7 linked regions of the Oryctolagus cuniculus genome follow. The protein of the gene in region 4 interacts with the protein of the main gene of each other region in a pairwise test. Links are inferred from orthologs where the notes say so. Each region holds a gene or a part of one and is shown on either strand. Other genes may lie near its edges. The genes, in order: KIFC3, TRAF3IP1, ARHGAP32, ABI2, KIAA1217, DTNB and KRT20.

Region 1 (4,808 bases), on a different chromosome or scaffold from region 4:
TGGGGATTGTTAAAGCAAACTGGAACTGTCATGTGATGTAACGAGGCAGCAAGCCTTGGCGGCAGACCAGCAGCTACACCCCGAGTACTGCGCTCGTCCCATAATCCTGTTGGGGCCCAGCCCTCTCCTCCCCGACCTGCACCCAGAGGGCTGCTGGCTCCCATCCAGCGGTGCTCGAGAGGTCCCAGGAGGAGTTTCAGGAACCCCCACGCCCAGGAAGCCCTCCTCCCAGCAGGGTCCCAGAGGAGGGAGGAAGGGAGGAAAGATGGGGGGCCCGAACCCCTATCCACACCAACTCCAGCCTGAACAGACACGCTTCTTGGTTTTTCCTCGATACATGCCTGGCCTATCAGGTGTGTCTGTCTTCATTAAATTCGGCTCCCCCAGCACACCAGAATCCCTCGCCGCAGGATTGGGTACCACGTGAATTTCTGGAAGTGCCCTGGCGCAACCCCCCCCCCCCCCCCGGCTTCCCTGTCACACTAGCACAAAGTCCCGGTTCCTTACCCTGTCCGCGAGATCCTGTGCCATCTGCTCATGGGCCTCCACTGCCGGCTCTGCCCCTGCTCTCGCCTCTCCAGCCACAGGGGTCTCTCAGGCCAGCCTCGCTCCCATTTCGGGGTCTTTACCACCTTCCCCAATCAACCCCCTTATCCCCTCTGCAAACAGTCTCTCCCATCTACCCTTGCGTCTCAAAATGTCACTTCCTCCAAGAGGTCTTCCCTGACCACTCCCACCTCCCTGGGTTTTAATCCCTCATTGTACTTATCACTGAACTTCTCTTGTTTTCTGTCTGCCTCCCGGACTAGGAATGCAAACTGCAAGGGGGCAGAAGCCTCCTGGACTGTTCAGGGTCAGATCCCCCGTGCCAGGGACAGACCTGGGCCAGAGCAAACATTCAATGCATATTTATGGAGTGAAGGCATCAATCCATCAAGTGGAGCCGGACAGCAAGCTTGTAAATAATACATGCAAGCGGCTGCCACACAGCAGGCATCACTCAAAACCTCACACCCAGCCCCGTCCCAGGCGCTGCCTTTTGATCCACAAGAACCCACAGCAACAAAACAACTCAACGGTATCTCGGTAACGCTGTCCAGGCGCGCTGGGAACTTGAGCATTTAGCCAAAGCCCTTCTCACTATCTGTTCATCCTAACAACCTAGTGAGGAGGCAAGGCTGTAGCCCCATTTTAAGGAGCCCCAAAACTGAGGTCGAGCAGATGTTTTGTACTTGCCCAAGATCATGAAACCACGGGCCAGCATTGCGGCACAGGGTGTTAAGCCACTGCCTGCAATGCCATCACCCAGTATAGGTGCTGGTTCAAGCCTTAGCTGCTCTGTTTCTGATCCAGTTCCCTGCTAATGCACCTGGGAAAAGTGGTGGAAGATGGCCCAAGTGCTTGAGCCCCTGTATCCGCGTGGGAGACCCAGATGGAGCTCCTGGCTCCGGGCTGCACTTCAGCTTGACCCAGCCTTGATCTTTGCAGCCACTTGGTGAACCAGCAGGTGGAAGATCTCTCCCTGCCCCCCGCACCCCCCCACCTCTTAACTCTGCTTTCAGATAAATTTGTTGTGTTTTATTTAAGTTTTACCTATTTATTTGAAAGGCAGAGTTAGAGAGAGGCAGAGGCAAAGACACACAGAGAGAGGTCTTCCATCTACTGGTTCCCACCCCAGATGGCCACAACAGCCAGAGCTGGGCTAATCTGAAGCCAGGAGCCTGGAGCTTCCTCCTGGTCTCCCATGTAGGTGCAGGGACCCAAGCACTTGGGCCATCTTCCGCTGCTTTCCCAGGCCATAGCAGAGAGCCGGATCGGAAGTGGAGCAGCTGGAACTCGAACAGGCACCCGGCTTTACTTGCTATGCCACAGCGCCGGCACTGATAAATTTGTTTTAAAAAATCATCTAACCGGCCTTGGGCAGAGCCAGGAGCCTCCCCCCAGACTACACAACTGTTTTCAAATCCCTCTGAATGAATGCCATGGAACACTTCTGTTGTGCCAGGAGCTGCGTTAGAAAGAATTTCAGAGACTGTCTCACAGGCAAGCCGGGGTAAAACGTTCCAGATACCAGGGTTCTAGGGAATCCTGGGCCACGTGTAGAGACCCAACCCCGCTCTACCAGGATTTCTCCCACAGTCACCCTCACGAGTGCCGATTGCCAATACTCCGCTCCTCACTGCATGCCGCTCGTTACTGTGCCGTTGTACACAGGAGGAAACTGAGGAACAGAGCCATCGAAATGCTTGCTTCTGGCCCAACACAGCAAGCAACACAGCTGGGTCCTGAACTTGGCCCTGGCCGTGTCATCGGCAGAAAAACCTGGTCTCTGTGGGTCAGCGGTCTGCAGGTGCTTCTGAGCGTATAAAATGCTAGAAACGGCCGGCGCCGCAGCTCTGTAGGCTAATCCTCCGCCTTGCAGCGCCGACACACCGGGTTCTAGTCTCGATCGGGGCGCCGGATTCTGTCCCGGTTGCCCCTCTTCCAGGCCAGCTCTCTGCTGTGGCCTGGGAGTGCAGTGGAGGATGGCCCAAGTGCTTGGGCCCTGCACCCCATGGGAGACCAGGATGAGTACCTGGCTCCTGCCTTCGGATCAGCGCGGTGCATCGGCCGCAGCGCACTGGCCGCGGCGGCCATTGGAGGGGGAACCAACAGCAAAGGAAGACCTTTCTTTGTCTCTCTCTCTCACTATCCACTCTGCCTGTCAAAAAAAAAAAAAATGCTAGGAAGATCTAACTCTGATGAGCTTTATATAGATGGGAAGGACCTAGGGGAGAACAGCCATACGCCAGCCCCTAAACTAGAGGCCACATGAGCCCCGCCCCCACCCAGGGCAAGGTGTGCTTCAAAGTCTTCCTTTTGTTCCTTACCTGTAGGTAGGGTCGCTGGGTCTGTGTGGCCGGGATGCCTCCTGGGGAGGGGGCCTGGAGCTTGGCAAGACCATCTTCATTGGAGACACCAGGGCCAGACCAGCGCCAGCCAGGAGCCTGCTCCCGGCCAGGGCTGGGCTCTGTCTCCCTCTCTTCTCTCTGCCCCCTCGGCCGGGCCCAGCTGATCCAGCCCAGCCACACCAGGGCTGGAACCACAAACATGGCAGCACCCAGCCCCGCTCGCTCTGACCCGCTGTAGAGCATGGTATTCGATGCCGGAACAGACAGCAGCCCGTGCCCTGGAATTTTCTGCTTGGTTCAACAATTCCTCGTTGGACCAAGCAGTGGCTCTGGCCTTGAACAAGGCGGGCATTCAGCCTTTGGCTCAGCAATTAAAAGGCTTTGGGGACAGCAGCTCCTTCAGCGTCAGCTCCCAGGGAGGGACTAACCCAGGTCGTAAGTGAGGGTCTCATAATGTGACCCTGAGTGAGTTTCCTAGCCAGTTTTCTGCAGCCCATGGAGGCTTGAGAAGAATTAGAATTATTACAACACAGGGTGTAAGAGGCAGGCGGGGAGAATAAAGCTAACCAGGCCCCTGACACCCAGGGGAGAACCAGAGATGTCCAAGTCTGTCTCCGAGTTCTCATTCTCTCAAAATCCTGTCGCACCCTTGGCCTTCCAGACCCGGCTAAGAGCAACTTCAGCCAACAGTCTTAGGACCAAGAGACCTGAGTTGGAAGGATCTGCTGAACCACAACAGAGGCTACCAAGGAAGAGAGCACTGGTCCTGGAACAAGCTCCCCCGACCACGGGCAGCAAGGTGAGCCGGTGGTTGGGAAATGTCCCCCAGCTCAGAACAAGCCTGCGTACTTTCTAATGAAAATCGGAAGAAGAAAGGCATCAGGGGTTTGCACTGACCCCACGCTAGCCATAGAGAAAAGGACGGGACGACAGCAAGTGGGGGGCTGTCCCCCGGGACAAGCCCGTGCTGCCTCTGTGCGCGTGGTCAGGGCCGTGCTGGGATCTGAGTGGGGGTTTTCACATTCAAGGCTGCACCTCGGCCCTGCTCAGCCACCCCCACGTCTGCTTCCTTCCACGCCCCAGCTCGCAGCAGTGACACTGAGGGGCTCTCAGAATCGTTGCCCCACCGCGTCCCCCCAGAGATGCAGAGGGAAACCCGCTGGCACCTTTAACTCTCACCCTGGGACGTGCCCCACATCTGTCAGCTTCAACCCTTGGGGCTCTGCCTTGCAACGTGCCACTCCCACCATCACGGCCTGGATGCCTGCCCTAGCCCCAACCCTCCGCCCCTGGTACTCAACTCCACGGCCAGACCGACCCTGTGAAAACCAAAGCCCAAGCACACTGCATCCCAGCAAGGTTTTCAAAGCCAAGGTCTCCCGATGTCTGTGCTCCAAAACCCCGCCGCCATCTTCTTCTGCTCTGCTCCTAAGACCCACCAGCTGCCCCCAGGACCTTTGCACTGGCTGTGCCTCCCCCCTGGAGACTCTAACCTCAGATACCTTGTCCTTGAGGAGCCTCACCCTGACTGCCTCATTTAAATTAGGGCCCCACCCACCCCTTCATCTTCCACCAACACCCCAGCTCTCCCTAAGGCTCTTCCTATGCTCCGAGTTCACTGGTTTCTTCACAGCACCAAGCACCTCCTGATACGCTAGGGGTGCATTGATTGGCTAAGCCTATTAGGTAAGAAGTCAGAAATGAGCTTGTGTGTGTGTGACAAAGGCCTAAGGCATAGACATCCAGGTCCAGCATCCGCATCTCAAAGTCATCCCGACAACCTTCCAGGTGCGGCCCAGTATCTGCACTTCAGACACCCTGCCCCCACCTTCCAGGGGGCCCTGCCCCTTCTACCCCGGGATAACCAGATAACCGTCCCTCCTCTAACCACAGGCTTCCCCTGTCTGATAGCTTCAG
Region 2 (4,184 bases), about 35 Mb from region 4:
CAATACTCCTCCCTCATTTCTCCTGGCCTCTCCCCACAGTCCGCATCCGAGTCTGTTTGTTCTAGCTTTCACTTTCGCTTTCGACCTTAGAGATTTCTCCCAGCTTCCCCCCGTAGTCCGTATCTGAGTCTATGCCTAGGCTTTCAATAGCTTCTTCCGGCACCTTTTTCGGCCAGCTTTTCCCTAGGCTGTTTGCTAGTCTCTCTCTCCGGTATTTTCCCAGTTCTTCCCGTTTCTTCCCTCCTAAGTTTCCTATCCGGCCTAGGTTTCCTAATCCGAGTCACGGCACCATTATGTCGCTCCCCCTCTTCGTGGAGGAACGACACAGGACCCTGCGCTGTTCTTTCGTCTGCTCGGCCCTTCCCGGGTTTCGGCACCATTATGTCGCTCCCCTTCTTCGTGGAGGAATGACACAGGACCCTGCGCTGTTCTTTCGTCTGCTCGGCCCTCCCCGGGTTTGCTGCTGGTTCTTCCCGGGTTGGCTACTATCCCTTCCACCTCCGTGGAAGGGCAGTTCCCCCTGGCCGCATTCCCCACTTCCGCAGGGGAGCGGCACACCGCCGGCCGGCTCTTCTCGGGGGCTGCACGGGTGTTCCCTCAGCTAGATGTTCCCCTTAGATGTTCCCTGGTGCATGCCGTCTCTCTCCTCCTTTATAGTCCTCCTCCGCCAATCCCAACTCGGCTGCCCACACGCCGAGTACGCTGCTCTCCAATCAGGAGCAAGTCCTACAGTTTATTGGTTGAACTGGAGGCAGCTGTGCAGAAGCTGTTTACTTCTCTCCCAGCGCCATATTGTGGGAGAGCAGATGCATAGAATAAGTCTTAATTCCAGTAACTCAGTCCAGTCCGGGCTGCTCCCCACAAGGGCTGGCATGGTCCTGCGAGGTGCTGTGCTTTGGCTGTGAGAACAGCACTTCCTTTCACGAGTTACCCTGTTCGTGCCCGTGGCGGCAGACGCCTGTTCATTGAACTCTCCTTGAATGCCGAGCCCCTCGTTTGCTACATGTGCTCATTTCACCTTTTGTTTTCTGACATGTGGACACACCAGCTCTCCAGTGAGGACGCAGTGAAGAGAGTTCTGTCTGGGGAGAAGGGGGATGTGAAGGGAAGGGTCTCCCTGACCTCACGGCCTCAGGAGTCGGACAATAAGCATGTGAGAGAAGAGGAGCCCAGAGGCCACAAGGAGAAAGAGGTGAGTCGCGAGTCGCGCACCTTGGAAGTAAGATCGCCTCTCTGTAGTTTGGGGAAAGCCTCGTAAATGAGATATATGTTCTTTTTTAGGACAGGAGAAACTCTGAAATAAAAGAGAGAAGCCCAAGCAGAGATCGAAAACAGAAAGAAGAATTAAAAGAAGACAGCAAACCGAGGGAAAAGGACAAGGAGCAAGAGAAGCCCAGAGAGCCCGAGAGAGACGGGCGCAGAGAGCCCGAGAGAGACGGACGCAGAGAGCCCGAGAGAGACCGGCGCAGAGACGGGGAGCGAGAGAAGGCCAGGGCCAGGGCCAGGCAGGAGCGGGACAGAGACGCCGAGCGGGACAGGGAGCGGAGGAGCGAGGCAGCGAGGGAAAAGGAGAGACTCAGGGGCAGGGACCGGGACAAGGGGAAGGACAGGGACCAGCGGAGGGTGAGGAACGGGGAGCACTCCAGGGACCCCAACCGGGAGAAGAGCCGAGAGCAGGATAAGCTGGAGAAGAAGGTGAGATCTGCTTGCAGACCCCTCCCCTCTCTGTGCCGTGTTCTCTGCCGTGCGTCCTGGCCTGGTGCTGGGACCTGGTGTTCAGTTTCGCCAGCTGGGAACGTGGCAGTCATGACCTCCGACGGAGGTGCAGACGTGCGACAGTGTTGTTGTCTCTGTCCCCGGCTGGTGGTTGTCTAATCGTTTCATTGAGGCATGAGTCAGTAAGCTGTTGTCGGAGTCCCAAGGCCGAGGCTGGCCGCTGACCAGCAGGGGCAGTACAGGCACTCCCCAGCAAGGCAAACGGGAGGGGTGAGGTCGGTGGGTCAAGAACACACCACAGCACCGTGGGTTCTGTGGAAGCAGGACCCGCCCTATTGAGGAAGCGTGCAGGCTTGTAAAGCTTACGGAGGACATGCGTGGTAGGGAGCCAGAGAAAAGGTCACGCAGGCACGGTGGACCACACACGGGCACCTTAAGCAAAGTATAGGGATCGCGCACTGTCCACGTGTCCGGAACTAAAGCGGACCTATCCCTGCCGGTGGTCTGATCTTATATAGCTTAACCGCGGCAGCCGCAGACACGCCCCTCGAACATCCGAACATCCGCCAGGCGCCATGTGGTAGTGGAGGTTTTAGGCAATGCCCACCAAGCTTTCAGCTCTACCTCACACCCAGCAGGGATTCTGCAGGAAGCCGAGCTCCGTAAGAGCCTCAGCCGGCGGCTTCTTTGTCTTGTGTGTGCTTTGGGTCCCAGCCTGGTCAGTGTCTGGCCCACGGGCGCCCTGGGAGTCCAGGCGTGGGATGACGATGGACTTTCGGATCAGGAAGCGCTGGGTGGAGGTGGCTGCTTGGTGGCGGCTGTGAGATGTGTGTATGGAAGGTCCATCCCGGGGGACTGGGCGGTGCTTGGAGGAGGAAGTCTCCAGTGCTTGCAGTTTAGAGTTCGGTGATCGTCCACCAGACGTGTAGACAGAGCCGCATTTTTCTGAGTTTGAGGTCGTTTGCCCACGTTTCCCCGTGTTTGTCCTGCATCTAGCCCCTTGGGAGTTTGTCTGCAGGCCACGAGGCAGCGTGCACCTTAGCTTTGTGAGCCGCACTGACTCCTGGTCTCCGTTGTGTGCCGCTGTCGTTGGGAGCACGGGTGTCATTGAGCTCTCCAGGGATTGTCTTGGAAGGCTTCGAGGCGTCAGCAGAGAAGTGCATACGTCTACGGTAGTTCTTATTTCGTTAGATTTTTGAGTAAATTCAGGTTTGCCTAGAAGGTTCTTTTGGTTTCCAGCGGTGTTTTCCAGACATGCAGGTTTCTTTTAGACTCATTGTTTAGGAGAGGAATTCAAACGTTTTATGGAAAAATGCAATTAAAAGATACTTTCAGAATTTTTGGTCCCTAAATAGATGTATCTCTAAGTCTATTTTCATGAATGACTTGAAGCACCCATGAGCGGCAGGGCTGTTTTCTCAGACGCCCACTCAGGCAGGGACGCGGCCTCGTCAAGCCTCGTGGGAGGGCGGTGGCCCCTCCTGGGCTCCCCTGGCTGGAATGGAGGAAGGGTTTGAGACCTGTGGTGCAGGTGGGCCAAGGGCAAGGGCAGGGCGTGGCCGGCGCCGCGGCTCACTAGGCTAGTCCTCTGCCTGCGGCGCCGGCACCCCGGGTTCTAGTCCTGGTTGGGGCACTGGATTCTGTCCCAGTTGCCCCTCTTCCAGGCCAGCTCTCTGCTGTGGCCAGGGAGTGCAGTGGAGGGTGGCCCAGGTGCTTGGGCCTTGCACCCCATGGGGAGACCAGGAGAAGCACCTGGCTCCTGGCTTCGGATCAGCGTGGTCCACCAGCCGCAGTGCGCCGGCTGCAGTGGCCATTGGAGGGTGAACCAACAGCAAAAGGAAGACCTTTCTCTCTGTCTCTCTCTCTCACTGTCCACTCTGCCTGTCAAAAAAAGGGGGGGGGGGCAAGGCGTGAGCTGACCGAGGCCCTCTCCTGCCAGGCGTCTCAGCCGTGTCTGGGGGCTGACCCCGTGGAATCCCGTCAGCTGGCCTTCTCTGCGGGGTCTGTGGGTCACAGCGAGAGGGGGTGCTGTCTGCACAGACTGCTGTGGCTTTGTCATTGGCGGTGTAGTGCTGTGCTGGGAGCCTCAGGCTGCGTGTCTTCCTGCTTGGGCACGTGCCGAGAGCGCTCCCCCCGGGACGCGTGGCGAAGCCTGCTCTGCGGGTGAGTTCTGGACGTCACAGAGACTCCCGGCTTTCGCCTCTCCTGAGAGCCCCGAGATGCTGACTGACAGCCCCGATGGGCTCTGGGCCTGCTGGCCGGGCTCCGTGCTACCTTCACCTTCACTGAAGTTGCCGAGGCTGGGACTTGTGTTCTAGTTAAGAGGAGGGTCCAAGGAGAACGTCTTACTGGCTGGTGTCTGGGGATGTGTTAGACTGCGTAGGAGGGATGGTTTTGTTTGAAAATATTTGGGACGTGGCAGAGTGACTGTTTCCCCGTCAGCACAGAAGTCCGGTTTCTGTCTCCTG
Region 3 (4,184 bases), on a different chromosome or scaffold from region 4:
CATAGTCAATGTTAAGTCACATTTAAAATCTATCATAAACGAGAAAACTTTGGACTGTCCTCCAAAAGTGGCGATGGCTTTTGTGCCAAATGGTAGTATAGGCCTTCTTTTCCTGCTAGTGGGGACAGGTCCAATGCAACCGTGTAGCTTGAGAAAAGTTCCAAATGGCTAAAATAGCCTCTACTTGTGAGTTACAGATATAGTAGTATTTGGCTCCATGGGAGGCATAACACTCATAATATTGTCATCTTTCATTAGGTTCAAGGTATAGTTCCAGCTCCAGAGAGGCCACCTGAACCCCGAGCTCTGGATGAGCCTACACCTGTCTTTGTCAGTGATGGTAGTACTGCTGCCCAGTGTCCCATGGCTACCGCTGCTCTCCAGCCAGGCCTGCCTGAGAAAGTGCGGGACAGCGCCAGGGCCCCACTGCTGCACCTGCGAGCCGAGTCTGTCCCCGTGCACTCCTGTGGCTTTGCTGCACCCGTACCCCCTGCCAGGACGGCAGAGAGTAAGCTCGCTGCTGTCATGCACTCCAACAGTGCTGATGCCACCAGCAGTCCAAATTACCACTCCTTTGTCACTTCTTCATCGGCCTCTGTAGATGACGGGATGCCTTTGCCACCTCCTGTGCTACAGCCTAAGCATGCTGCTCAGAAAATAGTGTACTCCTCCTCCTTCGCTAGGCCTGATGTCACCACCGAACCCTTTGGTCCGGAAAACTGTTTGCATTTCAGTATGACTCCAAACTGCCAGTACCGTCCCCAGAGTGTACCTCCACATCACAATAAAGTGGAGCAACACCAAGTGTATGGTGCCAGATCAGAGCCACCAGCCTCTGTGGGGCCTCGTTACAACACCTATGTGGCCCCAGGAAGAAACGCATCTGTACACCACTCCAAGCCATGCAGCCGGGTCGAGTATGTGTCGAGCTCTTCTGTTAGGAGTACTTGTTACCCTGAAGATATTCCACCATACCCTACCATCCGGAGGGTCCAGTCTCTCCACGCACCCCCATCTTCCATGATTCGCTCTGTTCCCATTTCACGGACAGAGGTTCCCCCAGATGATGAGCCAGCCTACTGCCCCAGACCCCTGTACCAGTATAAGCCATACCAGTCTTCCCAGGCCCGCTCAGATTATCACGTAACTCAGCTTCAGCCTTACTTTGAGAACGGACGGGTCCACTACCGGTATAGCCCCTATTCCAGTTCTGCTGCTGGCTCCTACTACAGTCCAGACGGGGCCCTGTGTGATGTGGATGCCTACAGCACAGTGCAGCTGAGACCCCTCCACCGCCTACCCACTCGCGATTTTGCTTTCTACAATCCTAGGCTGCAAGGGAAGAGCCTGTACGGTTATGCTGGGTTGCCTCCTCGTCCACGGGCCAACATGACCGGCTATTTCTCCAGCAATGACCATCATGTAGTCAACATGCCGCCAGCTGCTGATGTAAAGCACACCTATGCCTCTTGGGATCTTGAAGACATGGAAAAGTACCGCATGCAGTCCATCCGGAGAGAGAGCCGTGCTCGGCAGAAGGTGAAAGGGCCTGTCATGTCGCAGTATGATAACATGACTCCAGCTGTGCAAGATGACCTGGGTGGGATCTACGTCATCCATCTGCGCAGCAAGTCAGATCCTGGGAAAACTGGACTTCTTTCGGTGGCAGAGGGCAAGGAGGGGCGGCGCCCAGCCAAGGTCATCAGTCCCGAGGGAGATGACCGCTTCTACAGGAAGCACACAGAGCCAGAGTTAGACAGAACCCACAGCCACGCAGGCTATGGCAGCGCGCAGGGAGAGAAACCCTCTCTCCCACAGAAGCAGAGCAGCCTGAGGAGCAGGAAGCTTCACGACATGGGTTGCAGCCTCCCTGAGCACAGGGCACATCAGGAAGCAAGCCACAGGCAGTTATGTGAGTCGAAAAATGGGGCTCCTTTCCTGCAGGGAGCTGGACAGTTAGATTACGGGCCCAAAGGAATTCCAGACACGTCGGAGCCAGGGAGCTACCATAACTCTGCAGGGAAACATGGCCCACCCGGTCCGGAGTCTCTGAGACTGAACCACAAGGAGGTGAGGCTTCCCAAAGAGCTGGAGCGGCCTCGAGCCAGGCAGCCTCCGGCCTCAGAGAAACACCCCAGAGACTGCTACAAGGAGGAAGAGCACTTCACGCAGTCCACGGTCCCACCTCCTAAACCCGAGAGGAGTCACAGCCTCAAACTCCATCACACCCAGAACGTGGAGAGGGACCCCAGTGTGCTGTACCCATACCAAACACATGGCAAGCGCCAGAGCAATATGACTGTCATGTCCCAGTATGACAACCTGGAGGATTACCACTCCCTGCCTCAGCACCAGAGGGGGGGCTTTGGAGGGGGAGGTCTGGGGACGTACGTGCCCCCTGGCTTTCCCCATCCACAGAGCAGGACATATGCGACAGCTTTGGGCCAGGGGGCCTTCCTGCCCACAGAGCTGGCCTTGCAGCATCCTGAAACACAGGTCCACGCAGAATGAGCCCTGGGAGCAATAGAGTTGAAGCAGTCTCTGCTGGACAGTGGACTGGTCTATTTTTTTCAATAACCAAAAAGATTAAAAAACAAAACAAAAAAAAACAAAAAACAAAAAAAAATGCTACAACCCCCTGGTCACATTTAAAAAACATAATAAAAGTAAACAAATCAGCATCTCCCCCCCCCCCACTTCCCTGCCTCATTACCACCTCTTCCATCTATAGACTGTATCATTTTTGTCTTTTAAAAGCGAGCTGAATGATTGTAAAGCATTGTGTTGGAAACTGAGTGAAAACTTTGTCAGAGACCACACTTGCCACATAGGGCTAATTTGTAAGAGCCTGAGGGCTGCCTATAGCTGAATTTGAACCTAACTCTCTCTTGGCTTCTTAGTCTTTGCTAGCAAGTCCAGAGCAGTTTGCATCTGTTTCCTGGTGGGCTCGGGCACTTACTGTTGTGTTCCCCCTTCTGCAGCTACACAGCTTGCCCAGTGGGATGCTCCACTCTTCTCCTTCATTAGCCCTGGCTGAGAAGGGGCTTGTGTGTTAGATGAGAGTGGGAGGAAGCTCTTTGGTCCTTCAGATCAATCAGTCAGACTATTAGAAGCATTACGGTAAAAAGGAAGGCCATCTTTAAATTAAACATACTCAAGAGTCATCATAAAACGTGGGACCGTTCGACTCAGGCTGAACTGTATGTTCTTCCCAGTCTTTCTTTTCATGCTTGTTCCTCACAGTTCAAGAACAGGCTCGTGCCACTGCAGAAAGGTTATTTTGTTTGTTTGTTTGTTTAAGTTAGAATTTAAGGAAACTTCTTAGGTGGGAGAAAGTGAAGCTCGCATTGTCATTGCACTGTGTTAGCACCAGAAAGCTGTTGTCAGTGCTTTGAATGCCTTGCCTGTCTTCAGGGGTTTCATGCTCAACAATGTTTGGTAAATGAGAATCTCAATGCAAATATTTCAAACCCCATTTGTTCTCCTAAATTAGCAGCTTGTTTTTTTTTTTTCTTTAATTAAAAAAAATCAACATGGTTTGGATAAACCTGCATTATTTATCTTGGCCGTAAATTTACATGTTAAATTTTGTTTCTGAGCCAGGATACAGGATCCCTGGGAATGTAGCTGTGTTGTCTGTTAGGAAACTGCTAGTTCCCGCAATAACCACTTCTACACAGCCCCTCTTCAGTGGTTGGCTTTCCCAGGCAACTGCCATTTATGTCCCGAGCAGGTACATAGACTTCACTTCCTCTGGGCTTCTGAGATCAGTCTTAACATAACTGTCATTACACCAGCATTTCAGGTACAGCTCTTTATAACTTCGTGGACATGTGACTCTGTTTTGAAAGCTTCATTCCTTATTATAGTAAGAAAAGGACACCTCTCTAGCTCAACTCCATTCTGTTTCCTGAGTCCACCTTGCCACAGATACACCAGGCTAGACCAGCAAGGCAGTCCTGAATTTACAATCTAAGGTTAGGTTATCATTTCATTCCATAACTCTTAATAATACTTGAGTTTTATACATTCATACATTTTAAATACTCACTTTATAGAAGACACTAGGAGATTTCATTCCATTTAATGGATGGTTGCTGCTCTGGCTTTTTAGAACTTGGAATTAACTTTTATTTAGGGCAAAGGAAGAAAATTTTTAAGAGGCTAAAATCATGCTGCTATTG
Region 4 (4,184 bases):
ATTTAACCTTACCAGTCAAAAGAGACGGAACCAGAGATGCTAAAATCTAGTTTTAAAATCCTTTGATTCAAAGTAACTGGGGTGGGGAGTTCCTAGCCAAAGTTGTTCAGACGTGAACAGGCCCCATTCTTCTCAAAGACTGGCAGTCACCTGGCCATTCCTGCAGCAAACCCTCTGCACACGTAACGGTGGACCTCAGGACCTGGCAATGCCCACGGAGGAGAAGGTGACAGAAGGGGAAGTAGCTCCTAGAGGTGCAGAAATGGCACCTGCTAAACTCAAGTGGAAACCAAGATCACAGCAAACTGTATTTTGATGCCTCCCAAACAGAAAAATCAATTTACTCAACACAAAGCACAGCTATGTGGCACAGCCACGCTACACACAGTGCTGGGGAGATGTACACAACAGCTGCTCTCGCCGGGACCAAACAGTCGGAGGAGGGAGAGGAGAGGATGAGAAGGGCTCATCCCCAGTGACTCAGCAACACAGCGGAGTTAGCAAGTTCTTCGCAGCCCTAAGGTGAGAGCAGCAAGCGCTACTGAGGGAGAAAGGAAAAAGGCCGAGAGACAGAAAATACGGACCGAGACGTCTTAGCAGATTAGTATTTATTCCAAACACATTAGTCTGGATTTCTCAGGTCTGGATTTTGATGCACTGGTACTTTGTTTCCAATTTATTGTCTTGGCCATAAGGTCAAAAACAAAAACAGTGCGTTTTCATTCATATCTCCACCAACTCTGGAATATTAACACCAAAAAAAAAAAAAAAACCATTATGCAGTGACTTTTTAAAAAAATTGTAATAATGAGATGACCACAGTCTAAATGAACTTCAGAGGGAAGAATCTTTTTCCCATCAGATTCTATCCTTACAAATGGTTGCTTGCTGTTCAGCAGATCTGCGACTTGGATCATCCTCGCTGTAATTATTAAAAGCATGTAAGATTTTTCTGCATTCATTTGGAATTCCTAATACCATCTTTTAGTTTACAGGAAGATAAAGGGGGAAACACAACAGGAAATATTACCCTCACAGACTATTAATAGCATGCAATCTATGAAATATTACATACATTAAAAGTCTCCAATGCAGGCCTGGCCCATCATTACATTATATCCTTCTGAGACAATCTATAGAATTCAGAACTGTACAAAAAAAGTGGGCAGAAAATCCAACAAATATCATTTGTTAAACAAAAGTCACACACACACAACAGTACCAAATAATATAGAAAATACTGGCTAAGTCGTGGACTCCTGCCACCGCAGATGTTAAATATAGAGAGGCCTTCACCGAGTATCTGGCACACTCCCATCCAGCAAGGGTCCAGCAGGTGCGCGCGTTACAGCTTCTGCACAGGGGTCTCCTCTGGTGGGGAGCCGGGAGCTACTTGTTGGATTTCAAAACACCTTAAACCACAAAATGCTCTCAGCAAAGAAACTACTCAAAAATATAGCTGGAAGATGTCATTTCAAAGCTGTCTGTCCAGCTGCACGCCGGCACTAAGCAGGGTTTACCCGATGCACACGCAGTCTGGTTTGGGTGTCCGATGGCGTTGAAGGCCCCGCGGCACTGACTGTGAAGGAACACTAAGGGACATCAAGATGACTCAAGAAAAGCACGAAGTGGAATGTGGACTGGAGGCAAGTTAGTAAAGCTAAGACCAGTCTGGGGAAATCAGGAAGCAAAATGGTTAAGCCCAGTTACCTTTCTTCTTAATTATAACTTCACAAAGTCTTGATCAGGAATCTCTACAGCTGGGTCTGTTGCACAGCGATGTGCAACAGAACATGACTTCTGCCTGCTCATTTGCACTCAAGTTCCTGCCTGCACTGCGTGCCTTGCCGGGGGTTCCCAGTACTCAGGGGACAGCAAGTGTGACGAAGGAAGCCACTGGCCTGCAAACTCCACTCCATGTAGAACCCTAACAGCTGAACAGATGGGAGTAAAATTCTTTTGTTACTGCTTCTAAATTAGCGAGGGGGTCAGCATTGAGGCCTGTTGCTGCTCTCCAGCTAGGATGCTCTGAGTGTGAGATGGGCTTGGGGCTGAGAAGCCCCTCAGGGTCCCATCACGGTGAGGCTCCCTCTCCCAGCGCCCCAGGGTGGCCAGGAGGAGGCTGGGAACAGGGTCTTTCTATGTAGGGAAAAGGAGGGCCCCACAGAACTGCACCTCAGGCAAGGGTTTGGGATGCCCTCGAGGCCAGGCAGCAGCTTGCTCTCGGACCCTCCCACCGCCTCCCCGGGAACCGCCCCCACCCCAGCTGCTTCCCGGCAGCGTGGTACATCACACCGTGCAGTCCTTACCCACCCCGCCATGTCTGCAGACTCCCAGAGCAGCATCCTGTCATCTACACACTGGGGAACAAGGGATACAAGTGCGTTCAAGGTCAACTCGCTGGGCGCACTCAGGTGTTGAGGATGCGGAATTTACAGTGTCCAGGAGGAACAAGGCTGCTGAGCCAACGGAACCATGGTTACCGGGGAGTGTAAGTATCGACTTCCTCCTCCTCCTCCAAGCGGAAGGAAGTGCGGGCACCAGTACCCACTGGGCATGAAGCCAACCCCTTAGCACAGGCAGAGAACACCCAATGCCACGGGTTTTGTGGGAGGAGGAATCGAGGGTGTCCAGTATTCCTGAGAACGATCCCAGACAGTGTCCCGAATCAGTCACTCTGATGTGCTCAGCTGCACGGTTAGGCGGTTCCAGCTTTGCCACCTCGGAACCGGTCACGGCGCATCACTCGACAGCTCAGCGTGGCACCAATCACTGCAGAAAGACCCGTCTGCTCAGAGTTGGCTTTTTTGTTTTCAATACTCGGGGATTAAAAAAAAAAAAAAAAAAAGCCGTTTTATCGTTTGTATCCTTCGTTCTGTTTGGAAGGGGCGCCCCGGGCCATGAGTACTCCGGGGAGACCTGACTGTTCCTGCGAGGGCCGCACAGCCCCCCGCGCGTCACTCGGAATAATGCATGATGGACTCCACGTAGTTGCCCGGGAAGAGCCCAGTCACTCCATTCATCACGCCCTCGTACCAGCCGTCGTCATTCTTCTTGATGACGTAGATGATGGCTCCTTCCTGGAAGGACAGCTCATCCTCCTTGTCTTTTGTGTAATCATAAATTGCCACAACTAAGGGAGAAAAAACAGGATATAAAAAGTCACTATTCTTAGAGAAAACCAAACATGCAGATAACCGTTCTTCCTTGTCATCTGCATCTCTGTAACAGCCTGACTTTCTAAACAAGACCACAGTTTGTACACTTTTCTCCCTGGTACCCAGTCTGACACCACGCAATCCCCTTTCCTACCGAGGGGAGGCTCTGCACGGTACAGATGGCAGTTGTCAGCTTCACCCTTCCACACAGAGGCGAAAGCGCCTCCTTGAAGACGACCTCAGAACCAGGAAGACGGCTACCTCTTCACTTGAGCTTGCGCTGCAGCTCCACGCTGGGGAAGAAAAATGCAGGCCTTCCAGCACTGAGATTCTACAGTGCGGTGAATTCACCTACGAGGCGACTGACAACAGACCGAATTCCCACGATGCTTGGAGGAGGGGAGTCCACCTGTAGATACGTTCTTTCAAAAGGTGCTCCATTTTGTCACCAGCTGTATGTGTCCACAGGAACAGTGTCAAAGTGTAAGAAAGCCAGCACTCCTCCGAGCTCCCCTGTGATCCGCACGGCTCCCATCACTTGGTGACCGGGCCTTTCAACCCCGCCCTCGGACCATCTCTGCTTCCTAACATCACATTTATCCCGCTCGTTTTAACTGCGACACCTGAGAGCTCGCTCAGATGCCCCTGTGGAGTTCTAGTCTACGCCAGCCCCTCTGCCTCCTGCACCTTTCTGGTATCATCCAGAACTCTGTCCAGGGAAACCTCCATCTCCATCTATCCATGGTTAAAGCATATATTGCTGGGGCCGGCGCCGTGGCTCACTCGGTTAATCCTCCACCTGCGGGCACCGGCATCCCATATGGGCGCCGGATTCTGTCCCGGTTGCCCCTCTTCCAGGCCAGCTCTCTGCTGTGGCCAGGGAGTGCAGTGGAGGATGGCCCAAGTGCTTGGGCCCTGCACCCCATGGGAGACCAGGAGAAGCACCTGGCTCCTGGCTTCGGATCGGCCATTTGGGGAGTGAACCAATGGAAGGAAGACTTCTCTCTCTCTCTCTCTCTCTCTGTA
Region 5 (4,184 bases), on a different chromosome or scaffold from region 4:
ATCCACAACGCAAGAGCGTGGCTGACTCGGTGTCGGAAAACCAAGGAAGGGGTTAGATGCTGCAGACCATGATGAGAGGATCTGTGTTTAAAAAGGAGGGGGAGGAGGGGGAGGAGGGGGAGGGGAGGAGGGAGAGGGGAGGAGGGAGAGTGGGAGGGGAGGAGGGAGAGGGGGAAGGGAGGAGGAGGGAGGAGGAGGGAGGAGGAGGGGGAGGAGGGGGAGAGGGAGCGGGAGGAGGGAGAGAAGGAGGGGGAAGGGGGAGGAGGAGGGAGAGGACAGGGAGGGGGAGAGGAGGAGGGGAGAAGGGAAAGGGGGAGGAGGGAGAGGAGGAGGAGGGAGAGGACGGGGAGGGGGAGAGGAGGAGGGGAGTGGAGGAGGGGAGGAGGGAAAGGGGGAGGAGGGAGAGGAGGAGGAGGGAGAGGACGGAGAGGGGGAGAGGAGGAGGGGGAGGGGAGTGGAGGAGGGAGAGGACGGGGGAGGGGGAGGAGGAGGAAGAGGGGGAGGGGGAGGAGAGGGAGTGGGGGGAGGGGGAGAAGGGGGAAAGGGAGCGGGAGGAGGAGGGAGGAGGAGGGAGGAGGAGGGGGAGGAGGGGGAGAGGGAGCGGGAGGAGGGGAGGAGGGAGAGAAGGAGGGGGAAGGGGGAGGAGGAGGGAGAGGACAGGGAGGGGGAGAGGAGGAGGGGAGGAGGGAAAGGGGGAGGAGGGAGAGGAGGAGGAGGGAGAGAACGGGGAGGGGGAGAGGAGGAGGGGAGTGGAGGAGGGAGAGGACGGGGGAGGGGGAGGAGGGGGAGAGGGAGAGGAGGAGGGGGAAGAGGGGAAGAGGGGGACAGGGAGCAGGAGGCGGGAGAGGACGGGACGGGGAGAGGAGGAGGGGGAGGAGGGGAGGGGAGGAAGCGAGAGGGAAGCGGGCAGCAAGCGGAGCGCACGGCCCCCGGCCAGCGTCCCCAGCGCCCTCTCCAAGGCGCCCACGGCAGCCCGCCCGCTCGGCGTGGAGCGCAGGGCAGGTGCGTGTACGATGCTCCAGTATCAAAATGTCTTGGCAAAAAAGATCTCGAAAGGAACCATGAAGTTCTGACAAAAATAGAAATCTGTAATAAAGCTCTAACACTAAAATAAAAGGAACTTCCGTAGACTGTTTCACGCTTTGTATAGTCACACTCGGGCACCTCTGATGGCTTCCAGTCTCCGATGGGAAACATAGTTTCATACAAAACACGCGCGATGCCGGCTTCACGCTGCTTCACACGCCTGGCGCGCGTCTTCGGGTCTCTCTCGCACGCACGCACGCACGCACGCACCTGCGCCTCACCCTCCCCGGCGACAGACACACGCTCACTTCACGGGGGCACTGGCACGGACGGGCAACACGCGGAATCACGACAGCGACCGGGTGGAGAGGCGGGCGGCGGCTGCGGGCTCCGTGCTCCCGGCCCGGCGCCCCGGACTAGGCGCTCTCCTTGGCGGCGACGGGCGCGGTCTTGCTGGAACCTCCGTTCTGCGCCTTGTAGCCGGCAAGGCCAGGGCCCAGCAGCGTCCGGGCGCCCTTGGCGCCGTGACTCAGGGAGGGGGGGGAGGCGGGGGAGGCGGAGGGCGCGGGAGGGGCGGCGCGGCCGTTGTGAGTCTGCGGGGGCAGCGGCAGGTGCTGGCCTTTCCCTGCGTGCGCCAACTTGGAGGCGCCGTTAGAGGCGGAGGGGATGAGGGAGGCGGCGGGGGCGGGCCGTCCTGCGGAGGGGCTGAGAGGGTTAGAAGCGGCCGATGGCTTAGGAGCGGGCGCGTTAGGGAGGCTGGAGCCGTCACCGCTAGAGGGGAGAGAACCGCTTTTCCCAGAGCTGGGGGACAGGGCAGGGATCTTAGAGGCAGGCAAGGAGGGAGAGGTAGGCTTAAAGTCCCCACCAGCTTTCTTAGCACTTCCATTGGCCTGCAAACAGAGACGGCGGGGGAGGGGGAGACAGGGTCAGAAGCCGGCCGCGAGCCCCTCACAGGGACAGCACGGCCCGCCCGGGAGCCACTCACAGACACACCACCACCGTGTCCAGGCCTGAGCTGTCTGTGCCGTGCACCTGCCAGAGCCCCCTCCCCCCAGGTGCACAGCACAGGGAGCCGAGAACCGGCGCCCCCCACCCCCCCGGCAGAGTTAAGGCGCTGCTGACTCAAGGACGTTAGTGTGGGACCGAGGGCCGCGTGCGCACAGCTGGGCTTGTCTCTCCCTGGTGTCCTGGTCGCACGCTCAGGGCAAAGCCAGCGGGCCTGGCAGCGCGCGCACAGTTAAAACGTGGAGTCGCCAACGTCAAGGCTGTCTCGTCGCGAGCGTGCAAGAGCGTGGAGAGGGCTCCAACAGCGGCTGCTAGCCCTGCCTCGTGCCCACCCGAGCCCGCCGGCCGCCGGCCGCACTGCTCTACGCTACGGCTTGCTGAACCGCGATAGTGTCCGTCCAAGTTGGGGGTTAAGGCAAAACTACCTGGCGGTACTGGCGCGGGTCCTGCAGCTTGGACGGCTTGCCGGCTTTGTCCAGGCTCCCGGGTCTGCTCTTGGAAGTCAGGGGCACTGGCATTCTGCTGGTCTGGGGGGTCCCGCCGGAGCCCTGCGGGAAAGAGCGGCGAGACGGGGGAAGGGGAGAGTATGAGCGCCTTGTCCCGGAGGCTGCCCTACTGTGTGCTGAGAAGCCCGAGGTGCAGAGCCCCCGCCCGGCATGCAGGAGAGACGGAGGAGACACCGACTGGGGTTAATCGGAAGAACCAGACAGAATCCACCGCTCACTACTGATCCAACGGATTTTAATGTGAGTACCAGAGCAATCGTCCATCTCCACAGCACACGGCGGACCCAGCACCCTGGCGTGTCCCCGACACCGCTCAGCCGCAGGTGCACACACACTCGATTAGCTGTTAGACACCTAAGGCCGCTGGACTGGCAGGTGGGGAGACAGCAGGACAGACGGGGCCTCGCGGCGCACAGACAACACCAGCACCAGCACCCACAACCACGCGAGCTGCCCGCTAGGAAGCGACTGAATCACCAGACACCTTCTGCTAAGGGCAATTATTGGCAGATTTAGGAAAGCGGCTGCCGCTTCGCTCCACGCCAGACCACGGTACCTTACGCGGAGCTGGCGGTACTGGCGTGGGGGGCTCTGGGGCAGTGGGCACGTCATCCCGCACTAGCAGGGTGTGGGGAGGGGGCCCGTGGGCCGCGTGGGCGGAGTCGGCGAGGGCTCGGGGGCTCATCTCGCTGATGGTGTTTTCCAGCTGTTTGATGGTCTGCTCCAGGCTGTCCAAGGTCCGGTAGGTGTTCTTCCGGATCTCCTCGGTCCGTGAGCTCTGGGCCGGGCCCTCGAGCGCCCCCTCGGGCTGCGAGCTGGGGATTTCGAAGCGCCGGGCTTCCTTGTGCTGCTTCAGGGTGCCGTCTTCCTCCTCCTCCTCGTACACCACCACCTGCAGCGTCTTCTTCCCTGTTCTGGTGCCGGTGCGGATCGCCTGCGTGAGCGCGGCCAGCTGCTTTTTGGGGAACTTGAATTTGAACTTCTTCTTGGGGCTGTCAAACTGCTCGTCGGCTGCATCGCCCCTGCCCTCGGGACTCAGAGCGTCTCCCGGGCCCGACTCGTTCAGGTCGGCTTTCCTGGGGGCCCTGCTCCCTGCCACCAGCGGCGAGGGCAGCGGGAACGGGCTCTCGGCGGGCTGTGCTGTCCCCAGAGTGCCTGAGGCCACCGTGGAGGCAGGCCCGGGGGCGGAACTGCTCTGGACGGGGTCCCCATTCTCCTCCTCTTCCTCCTCCTCTATCTTCTCCTCTGTCATCATTCTCTCCAACTCCTCGTCGCATTCCTCGAAAATGGTGGACAGCCTCTTGTAGGCAGAGCGGATGTCCATGGGCTCGTCGAAGATGATGATGACGGGCTTCCTGTCCAGGCACACGACGGGCTCCTCGGGCCCCGGCCCCTCCCGCCTGCCGTCGATGGTCACCGTCTGCACCTCCTCCCCCTTGCGGCTCACGATGTCCTGCACCTCGCCGCTGGACAGCGCCTGCACGGCCGTCCTGGTGATCATGAAGGCGATGTTGCCCTCGCTCGGGGGGCCCGGGGTCGGGTCCCCGTTCTCGGCGGGTGGCACGGGCACGTGCCTGGCCCCTTTGGGTCTGAGGACAACTTGGCCCACCCCTGTCGGCGGCGCCTCCAGGCCTGGGGCTTGAGCCA
Region 6 (4,184 bases), on a different chromosome or scaffold from region 4:
CCTGGACTTGGATTAAGCCCTGCTTCCTGCTGACCTAGGTGACACCCCGGCCTCCGCCTGTGCCTACTGAATCCGCGCTGGTGTTTAGATCTTTCCAGCTTAGCTGAGCACTTTCAGCCAGCCCAGTTCCAACAACACCTGCACTCACAGATGACAGTGTTTTGCTTCTGAGATACAAAGAGTCACTCGTGCCCGAGCTGAGACGAGGGAAAGAAGGCAGGGCATCTACTGCTGGTGGCCCAGGGTTAGCCTCTGCTCGCCACAGCAGCAGGGCTTCCCACTTCCTCCTGAGACCACGCTCATATCCCAAATGTGCGACACTCAGCCACAGAGCAACCAGATCTCAGCCCAGCGAAACACCGAAACAAAAGTGCATTTTAATAACAGAACAGGAATCTCAGTACCTCTAATGGTTTTCATCTACACAGTTTATGACTTACTTATTGATGACTTAAATGTAAACAACAGAATATCTATGGAAAGAAATAATCTCCATTTTACAGGAAAAGTTGTGGTGGAGGGGCTAACTGACCTAAGCCACACTAACCAGACAAACAATGATAAAAAAGGGTACTTGCTGTGTGGAATCCCCGATGACAGCACAGTGCAAACCAACTGTGGACTGTCAAATGCTACAACCTAGGCAGAAAGGACCTATACGGTAATGGAAACCCAGAGATCTGCTGAGACCACTAAATCATTCAAATCACTAAACCTGGTTTCCACAGAGTCCACCAAAGAGTCCACACGTGTCTTTCTGGGGACGACAAGAAGTGGGACCCTAATGTGGGGTGAGCTCACGCTCCTGCAAAGACTTCCTCAGCCCCTCTGCAAGTTGTCCTGATCCTACCTCCTTAGCTTCTTGGTCCCTGGGACACACACGGTCTTGGTGCGGGGGGTTCCCCTTTAACCCCTGTCTCAGAGGATGAGCCTGGGTGGCCGTGCCTGTGGCGTGCCACGGGAACACACCAGGGTGCTTCAAGAAGTTCATGGAAGACCAGAACTCAGAGACAGGCTTATCTTAGTGCAAAAGAATTTTGAAATCCACGCATAGCTCCCCCCCCCCACCCCCCATTGCCCTGGAATGTTCTGAAGATTCTTTGTAGGCACGGATTTATTTATTTATTTTTTGGTTGCACCAATACAAAGTTAACTGAACATTTCCCCCTGCTTTGTGAAGCAACGTGGTACTGCTGGGAAAGGGAACCATCATCCCCCCAGGGCCTCTCCCGACAGCCTCCTTCAAGCCACTCCCTGGGGCTACAGTCGCGCCGCGGACGCCCGGCTCACCTCAGCAGCCGCAGCTCGGCCAGCAGCGTGGGGTTCTGCTGCGCCTTCTCAGGCGTGGGCTGCGACGCCTGCTCGTGCTCCAGGCGCAGGCGCTGGATCTCCTGCAGGATCTCCCTGCGGGGCGGGACGAGGGCCGGCTGCTCAGCGCGGGGCGTCCACACAGAGCCTCACCCCGCCAGGTCCTGCCGGCTTCCCCGCGGCGGGAGCGTGGCTAAGACCGCATCCCCCAGCTCTTCCCGCAACGCACCCACCCGTCGGTGGTAGGAAAAGTCCTAGGGACGTCTCCACAGGCGGCGAAGGACCCCCGCGGACCCTCTCCCGGGAAGGGGGCGGAGAACCCGGCGGCGCCTCCGGACAAGGGGCCCAGGCCCACTTCTTTCTCCCACCCCGGTACTCTGTCTGCTGTGTGTCTGCTCCCCGTGTCCTTAAATGGCTTGGTAAAAAACAAAACTTTCTGAGGAGACACTGGGCGGTCACGTGGAGCGCCATGGGCCTGGACAGGCCGAGCCGAGCACCCGGACCAAAATGCTGGCGGGAAGTCGGGAAGAAGGATCGGGAGCGGGACCACCGGGAGCCAGGAGGCGGCCTGGGGAAAAGAACCCAACTGAGGGGCAGGGGAGCGGGGCTTTGGGGCCGGAACTGGGCCAGCCTCTATCCACTGCGAGGAAAGGGGAGCCCGGTGTCATGGGCAGTCCTGGGCCTGCGGCTCGGCCTGGCCCCAGCGCTTACCTGTTCTTGTTTTCCAGTTCTGCGATGAGCTGTCTTTGTTGTTTGTTGGCATCAAAGTTGAAGCTCAGGTCCGTGGGAGGTCGAGTCTGAAGTGGGGAGAGAGCTGTGGTTGGTCCCCATTCACATATCCCAACGACCCATTCTGAAGGAGAGTACACCCGAGAAATACCCACGTGTTGAAGAGTGCAGGTCAGCGAGTCTTGTCGCTGCAGCGATTTCCACGCTCCCCACCCCACAGAGACCCCCTTGGCATCAGTGATTTCTAATGTCCCCCACCCCAGAGACCCCCCCGGCCGGTCTGCCGTCTCCTGCCCCCACCCTGACCTCCAACTGCCGCTTTATCTGCGTTCTGTCTGGCTCTGCCTTTTCTAGAAACTTCACGTAGCACAATCACACAACAGGTAGTCTTTGGTTTCAGAGGCTGAGCCGGCAGCCCCTTCCTTCCCACTGCTGGGACGTGTCCCGCTGTGTCCGGCTCTGGGCTGTGACGAGCCAGGCTGCTGTGAGCTCTCATTTGCAAGGCCGCGTGCCAATTCCCAGGGGTGCGATCACTGACGTCTGCGGTGACTCTACCTGACCTCTGAGAAACCGCTGAACCCGAACGTGGCAAAGTGGCCGCACAAACCCAGCGTCCCATGTGCGCTGCCACCTCACCAACACTGGTTACTGTCCTCATTTTCACCATCCTTGTGGGGGTGATGGTCATACATGTGAGTTTTTGTAAAAACGGAACTATCACTTACATACCATTAAACTCACTCTTCTAACACGTACGCTTGAGTGGTCTGTAGTGGATTTATGAGGTTGTGAAACTATCACACTAATTCCAGGATATTTCCCCCACCCACAGTGACCATTAGCAGCAGTCACTCCCCAACTCCTCTCCCTCTCCCCCTCACACCATACTTTCTGGATTTGCCTATTCTGGGCATTTTACTTAAATGGAATGAGACACTATGTGACCTTTTTTTTTAAAAACATATTTATTTGAAAAGCAGAGTTACAGAGTGATAAGGAGAGACAGAGGTCTTCCATCTGCTTGCTCACCCACCAGATGGCCACAACAGCCAGGGCTGGGCCAGGCCAAGGCCAAAAGTTTCATCCAGGTCTTCTACTTGGATGCAGAGGCTCAAGCCCTTGGGTCATCTTCCACTGCTTTTCCTTTTGCATTAGCAGGAAGCTGGATTGGAAATGGAGCAGCCAGGACAGGAACTGGTGCCCGCATGGGATGCCAGGGTCACAGGCGGCAGCTTAACCCACTGCACCACAACGCCGGCCCCCATTATGTGACCTTTTATGTCTTGCTTCTTTCACTTAGCAGAATGTTTTCAAGGTTGATCCACATTGTAGCATGTATCAATACTTTATTCCTTTTTATGGCTGAATACTATTCTGCTATTTAGATATATACCATATTTTACTAATCCTTTCAATAGTTAATAGATATTTGGGTTGCTATGTTAAGTAATGCTATGAACACTTAGGTAGACAGTTATGTTTGGGTTTTTTGTTTTTTTTTTTTCCCTTGGGTATATATGTAGGAGTGGATTTGCTGGGTCAGATGGTAATTGCTTTTTGAGAAACTGCCAAACTGTTTTCCGAAGTGGCTGCATTACTTTACCTTCCCATGACAGCACATGATGGCTGCAGATTTCCCACATCCTCGCCAACACTTGTGCTGTCCGTCTCTTGACCATAATCGTCCTTGTGGGTGTGAAGTGACAGCTCACTGTGGATTCTATTTATATTTCCCTAACGACTGACACAGTGAGTGAACGTTCACGTGCTCACGGCTGTCTGTGCATCTCCTCGGGAGAAATCATGTGGCTGTGCTTTGCATATCCACTTGCTCTGATCCGGGAATCGGTTAACACGGCATGCAGGAAGGAATGACTGGCTGGGTGACGTTTCCTTCCGCTACCCAAAAGAGAGCTCTCAGCGAGGGCTCGGCGAGGACCACACTTCATCCTGCACATTTTCAGTTCTGCCTGAAACATGATCTACCATGAAGCAGAAGGCACGGTTCCTGTGTAGAGCTGGAAGATTCAACAAGCAGTTCTTCCCGTGGGGCATTTTCTGAATACACAGGGCCGAAACAGCATAGGAAATCTAGGTGGAAGCTTTTTACCAAGCTACCAAATATTTGAGAGGCAGGCAGAGAAAGC
Region 7 (4,184 bases), on a different chromosome or scaffold from region 4:
TTTTACTGTCCTTGCTACCCATGACCCAATGCAATCCCTAACACAAAAGCAATTATACACATACCACTCACAACAACAAAAGTACACCAAAAAGTACACACACACCCAAAACACCAAATATGGCCTTTGTACCTGAGGTTATGTGGTAGGGCTAAGTTAGAAGATGGCTATCCAAATGATACCAATTGTGTTAAGGCCAGTTTTTGTGATTAAAGTATAATTTAAAGCAAAGTTACTTTTTTGAAAAATTCTTATTCCGAGCTCACAAATTAAATAAGAGACCACAGAGGTCCACAGGAACCAGCTGGAGAATCGTGAGTATTGCTGAAGAAGCTGTCTCGCAAAGATCACACCCAAGAACAACAACAGGAGAACACAAAATTTAAACTTCCATTATGAATTTGCTATTTTAATTACAAAAACTTCTAGCATTTGTCAACCGGGTCAATTCTGAAGCTATTCATTTTTCAAGTTAAAAAGCAAGACACTCAAATAAGTCAGTTGCAATTAGAGTGGAGGGCAGGCATTTGGCACGGCAGTTACGATGCCACGTAGGACACCTGCACCCCATGCTGGAGGGCTGGATTTGAGTCCCAGCTCTGCTTCCAATTCCAGCTCCCTGCTAATGTGTACCCTGCGAGGCATCAGATGATGACTCAAGTACTCAGTCACTGCCATACACATGGGAGACCTGGATGGAGTTCTGAGCTCCTGGCTTCAGCCTGGCCAGTCCCAGCTGTTGTGGGCATTTGGAGTTAAACCAGTGAATGGAAGATCTCTCTCTCTCTCTCTCTCTCTCTCTCTCCCTCTCACCCTCTCACCCTCTCACCCTCTCACCCTCTCACTCTCTCACTCTCTCCGCCTGTTAAATACACAAAAATATTTTTTAAAAGAGTAAGACATTCAAGTTGTAAATAACAAGCATTACCAAAGGGAAAGAACATGAAAACCCACATCACTCACTTTGCTTTGAAACACAAAATGGCAATGTATTCCTTAGCTTCTTGTTGTTCTAACTAAACTACATGAGAGACGCTTCCTAAGAAGAAAGAAGGTTTGCTTCTGCTTCCTTTGGAGGTTCACAGCCCAAGACCAGGTGGCCCCTTAGGTGTAGGCATCTGGGGAGGCTGGAGGGTGGCAGAGAGTATCACATGGAGAGCAGGAAGCAGAGATGGAGGGCACACACATGGAGACTATCCCCAGGTGGGCTCTCCTGATAATGCCATCACAGGGCTCCTCTGTAGCAACTTGATCCAATCCAATCAGTTCCTGAAGGCCCCTCCCCCACCACAACCCACCAACCATTAACCCATTAACCATAAACTTAAGACTTTGGGGTTTGACATTAGGCATTAGTTTGGGGAAACCAAATCCCATTCAAACTGTAACAGACAATAACGCTTTTTTTTGTTTCTTTTTTTTTTTTTAAAGCAACCTGGAAGAGAGAGGTAAGATTTCCAAATTTTTGCACATTTTCTGTAACATTGGAATTTCAGTAGCCTTCTGTTAACTGTCACTGGAGGAAAGTAGGGTGGCCAGTTCTCAAGTGAGCAGATGAGACCCCAGGGATTCTGAAAGTCTCGCGCACAGCATTACAGTTTCATGGGGGAGTTCTGACAGGCTGCCCATAACAGGGCAGTGCTCTTGACCTGTGCTAATGCTGTCCTAAAGCTTCCTGAGACTCTGAAAAGAGAAAAAAAAATCAAACGTGGGAATTTTGCTTAATTCAAGATACCATATTTCTATGTAGGCACGGGAAATGAAGGAAATTTGCAAATTAGAGAAGAGGGGACCACTGGCTGCACTTGTTTATAAAACGAACTTCAGGCAGGCGCTGTAATAGGCTAATCCTCTGCCTGCAGCGCCGGCACACCAGGTTCTAGTCCTGGTCGGGGCGCCGATTCTGTCCTGGTTGCTCCTCTTCCAGGCCAGCTCTCTGCTGTGGCCAGGGAGTACAGTGGAGGATGGCCCAAGTGCTTGAGCCCTGCACCCCATGGGAGACCAGGAGAAGCACCTGGCTCCTGGCTTCAGATCAGCGCAGTGCGCCGGCCTCAGCGCGCCGGTTGCAGCGGCCATTGGAGGGTGAACCAACGGAAAAGGAAGACCTTTCTCTCTGTCTCTCTCTCACTGTCCACTCTGCCTGTAAAAAAAAAAAAAAAAAAAAAAAAAGAAGAACTTAAAATTGTTGAAGAAAGAAAATGAGTTCAACATTTTCTCCTAAAAGAAGGAAATGAGGACAAAAATAATCGTTTAAATTAGCATATTGTAAGTCAGCAGAGTCATGTCCCAAAGCTAACATTTAATGTGTAATGTGTATTCAGATAAAAAGAAAACCAGGAAGATCAAGACAGTTGTGGAAGAAGTAGTGGACGGCAAGGTTGTGTCATCTGAAATCAAAGAGGTGGAAGAATCCATCTGAACAGCTACCGGCAGGAGACGCTGCTGAGGCTTCCAGGGAAGTGCAGCTATAATTGTTGCTCCCTACAATAAAACGGCCACCCAGAAGCACTATTAACACCTTGGAGTAATCAGAAACGGCGGTGGGGGGGGGGGGGGTCCTATTAGTCAATCTCTGTAATTGAATATAAATGTTTCACTCAGAGGGGATGGAAATCGCCTACGAACATGAGATTTAATGAGCACTGGAATATTTAAAGTGTTGTTACTGTCATCTGCATTGTGAAATGTATTAGTTACAAGCTACAGACCACAAAAATCAATGTGTAGGTAACAGTGCTGAAAATTACAGTAGCTTTCAATTATGCTGAATCTGACAAAGCAGAGGAATCTATACCAATGGCAAATCAGCTTCTCTCTTCTCTTTTCCTGTTTCTAAATTGTAAAACCTCCCCTTGGGAGCCCCTGGAGTCTTCATGGAGCTGTTTCTGGTCAGTCCCACTGAAGTTTTAACATCCGTACAGTTCCACAATTCTGCAACCTTTGAGCCACGGCTGCTTTTTCCCACTGCCTCTACTGCCTTTTAAAACTCAAGTTGGTTCTGTGAATAATCTGAGTCAAATTCCAATCACAAATACCGAGCAGAATAAGAATGAAATCTGCCATGCTTGAAATGGGAGTAGATTAAAATCAAAACTACTGAAACGCTTCTCGAGGCAGAATGCATCTCCTTTTGACAATAAACTGTGTAAATCATCAGGTGCTCTCTTTCTTTACAGAGTAAGCACACATCATGAAACGTTTCCCGCCATTTTTTGTGACAGCTTTATTGAGAGGTAACGCGTACAATTCAGTGGTCTTCAGTGTGTTCTCAAGGTTGTGCAGCCATCGCCATTATCTAATTTTAGAACATTTGCGTCATCTCTGCCACCCAAAAAAAGCCCCCACACGTTAGCAGTCACCCCCAGCACCTCACCAACCTCACGGATCTCCCCCTCTCTATGGGTTTGCCTGTTCTGGATATTTCATATAAATGGAATCGAAGACTGCATCTTTTCATAATTTTATTCATTTATTTGAGAGGCAGAGCTACAGAGAGGGAGAGACAGAAAGAAAGGTCTTTCATCGACTAGAATTCCATCTAAATGGCTGCAATGGCTGGGGCTGGGCCAGCCTGAAGCCAGGACCTTCTTCTGGGTCTCCCACATGGGTGCAGGGGCCCAAGCACCTGGGTCATCCTCCTCTGCTTTCCCAGGCCATCAGCAGAGACCTGGATCTGAAGAGGAGAAGTGGGGACAAGAACATTAGATGCTGGCACCACAGGCGGAGGCTCAGCCCACTAGCCACAGTGCCCGGCCCAGACTGTGTGCTTTTGGACACAGCACTCACTGGAGCATGGTTCATAATGACCTCAGTAGTAACAGCCATCAGCTGATGAGTGGAAAAACAAAAAGTGGCTTATCTGTGCAGCTGAGTATTGTTCAGCGATAAAAGGAATAAAGTACTGCTACATGTATGCTGATAGGTGCTACATGTATGCTGACAGAGAGAAAGGTCTTCCATCCACGGGTTAATTTCCCAAATGGCCACAACGGATCAGAGGAGGAGCAGCCAGGACTCTAACAGCACCTATATGGGATGCTGGCACCGCAGGCCAGCTTTACCCGCTCCTCCACAGCGCCAGCCCCAGGATATGCTCTTAAGCAACTAATTACATGGCAAGCAAAACATGATTCACGCTTGAAATAGGCATTTGCCTTTCCTTCCTTAGTGGTTGTGCTGTTGGT

Evidence for each region.
Region 1: the proteins of ABI2 (region 4) and KIFC3 interact in binary tests that used the Homo sapiens proteins (3 or more experiments, as listed by UniProt). The link is inferred for Oryctolagus cuniculus from reciprocal best matches to the Homo sapiens genes ABI2 and KIFC3.
Region 2: the proteins of ABI2 (region 4) and TRAF3IP1 interact in a two-hybrid assay, tested with the Homo sapiens proteins (2 studies listed by BioGRID and IntAct). The link is inferred for Oryctolagus cuniculus from reciprocal best matches to the Homo sapiens genes ABI2 and TRAF3IP1.
Region 3: the proteins of ABI2 (region 4) and ARHGAP32 interact in binary tests that used the Homo sapiens proteins (3 or more experiments, as listed by UniProt). The link is inferred for Oryctolagus cuniculus from reciprocal best matches to the Homo sapiens genes ABI2 and ARHGAP32.
Region 5: the proteins of ABI2 (region 4) and KIAA1217 interact in binary tests that used the Homo sapiens proteins (3 or more experiments, as listed by UniProt). The link is inferred for Oryctolagus cuniculus from reciprocal best matches to the Homo sapiens genes ABI2 and KIAA1217.
Region 6: the proteins of ABI2 (region 4) and DTNB interact in binary tests that used the Homo sapiens proteins (3 or more experiments, as listed by UniProt). The link is inferred for Oryctolagus cuniculus from reciprocal best matches to the Homo sapiens genes ABI2 and DTNB.
Region 7: the proteins of ABI2 (region 4) and KRT20 interact in binary tests that used the Homo sapiens proteins (3 or more experiments, as listed by UniProt). The link is inferred for Oryctolagus cuniculus from reciprocal best matches to the Homo sapiens genes ABI2 and KRT20.

Annotation. Positions count from the first base shown.
Region 1 is NC_091449.1:41,300,888-41,305,695, forward strand, and holds the start of KIFC3 (kinesin-like protein KIFC3), read right to left. Parts: upstream 3,121-4,808; 5' UTR 3,093-3,120; coding exon 2,871-3,092; intron 1-2,870. UniProt on the Homo sapiens protein: Minus-end microtubule-dependent motor protein. Involved in apically targeted transport. Required for zonula adherens maintenance.
Region 2 is NC_091434.1:2,081,045-2,085,228, reverse strand, and holds part of TRAF3IP1 (TRAF3-interacting protein 1), read left to right. Parts: intron 1-1,048; coding exon 1,049-1,192; intron 1,193-1,281; coding exon 1,282-1,695; intron 1,696-4,184.
Region 3 is NC_091432.1:122,591,589-122,595,772, reverse strand, and holds part of ARHGAP32 (rho GTPase-activating protein 32), read left to right. Parts: intron 1-258; coding exon 259-2,511; 3' UTR 2,512-4,184. UniProt on the Homo sapiens protein: GTPase-activating protein (GAP) promoting GTP hydrolysis on RHOA, CDC42 and RAC1 small GTPases. May be involved in the differentiation of neuronal cells during the formation of neurite extensions.
Region 4 is NC_091434.1:36,633,880-36,638,063, forward strand, and holds part of ABI2 (abl interactor 2), read right to left. Parts: intron 3,134-4,184; coding exon 2,958-3,133; 3' UTR 1-2,957. UniProt on the Homo sapiens protein: Regulator of actin cytoskeleton dynamics underlying cell motility and adhesion. Functions as a component of the WAVE complex, which activates actin nucleating machinery Arp2/3 to drive lamellipodia formation.
Region 5 is NC_091444.1:105,071,728-105,075,911, forward strand, and holds part of KIAA1217 (sickle tail protein homolog), read right to left. Parts: coding exon 3,094-4,184; intron 2,580-3,093; coding exon 2,457-2,579; coding exon of another isoform or gene 2,442-2,456; exon of another isoform or gene 1,917-2,441; coding exon 1,443-1,916; 3' UTR 1-1,442. UniProt on the Homo sapiens protein: Required for normal development of intervertebral disks.
Region 6 is NC_091433.1:177,292,098-177,296,281, reverse strand, and holds part of DTNB (dystrobrevin beta), read right to left. Parts: intron 2,106-4,184; coding exon 2,020-2,105; intron 1,405-2,019; coding exon 1,291-1,404; intron 1-1,290.
Region 7 is NC_091448.1:21,701,609-21,705,792, forward strand, and holds the end of KRT20 (keratin, type I cytoskeletal 20), read left to right. Parts: intron 1-1,431; coding exon 1,432-1,448; intron 1,449-2,321; coding exon 2,322-2,419; 3' UTR 2,420-3,156; downstream 3,157-4,184. UniProt on the Homo sapiens protein: Plays a significant role in maintaining keratin filament organization in intestinal epithelia. When phosphorylated, plays a role in the secretion of mucin in the small intestine.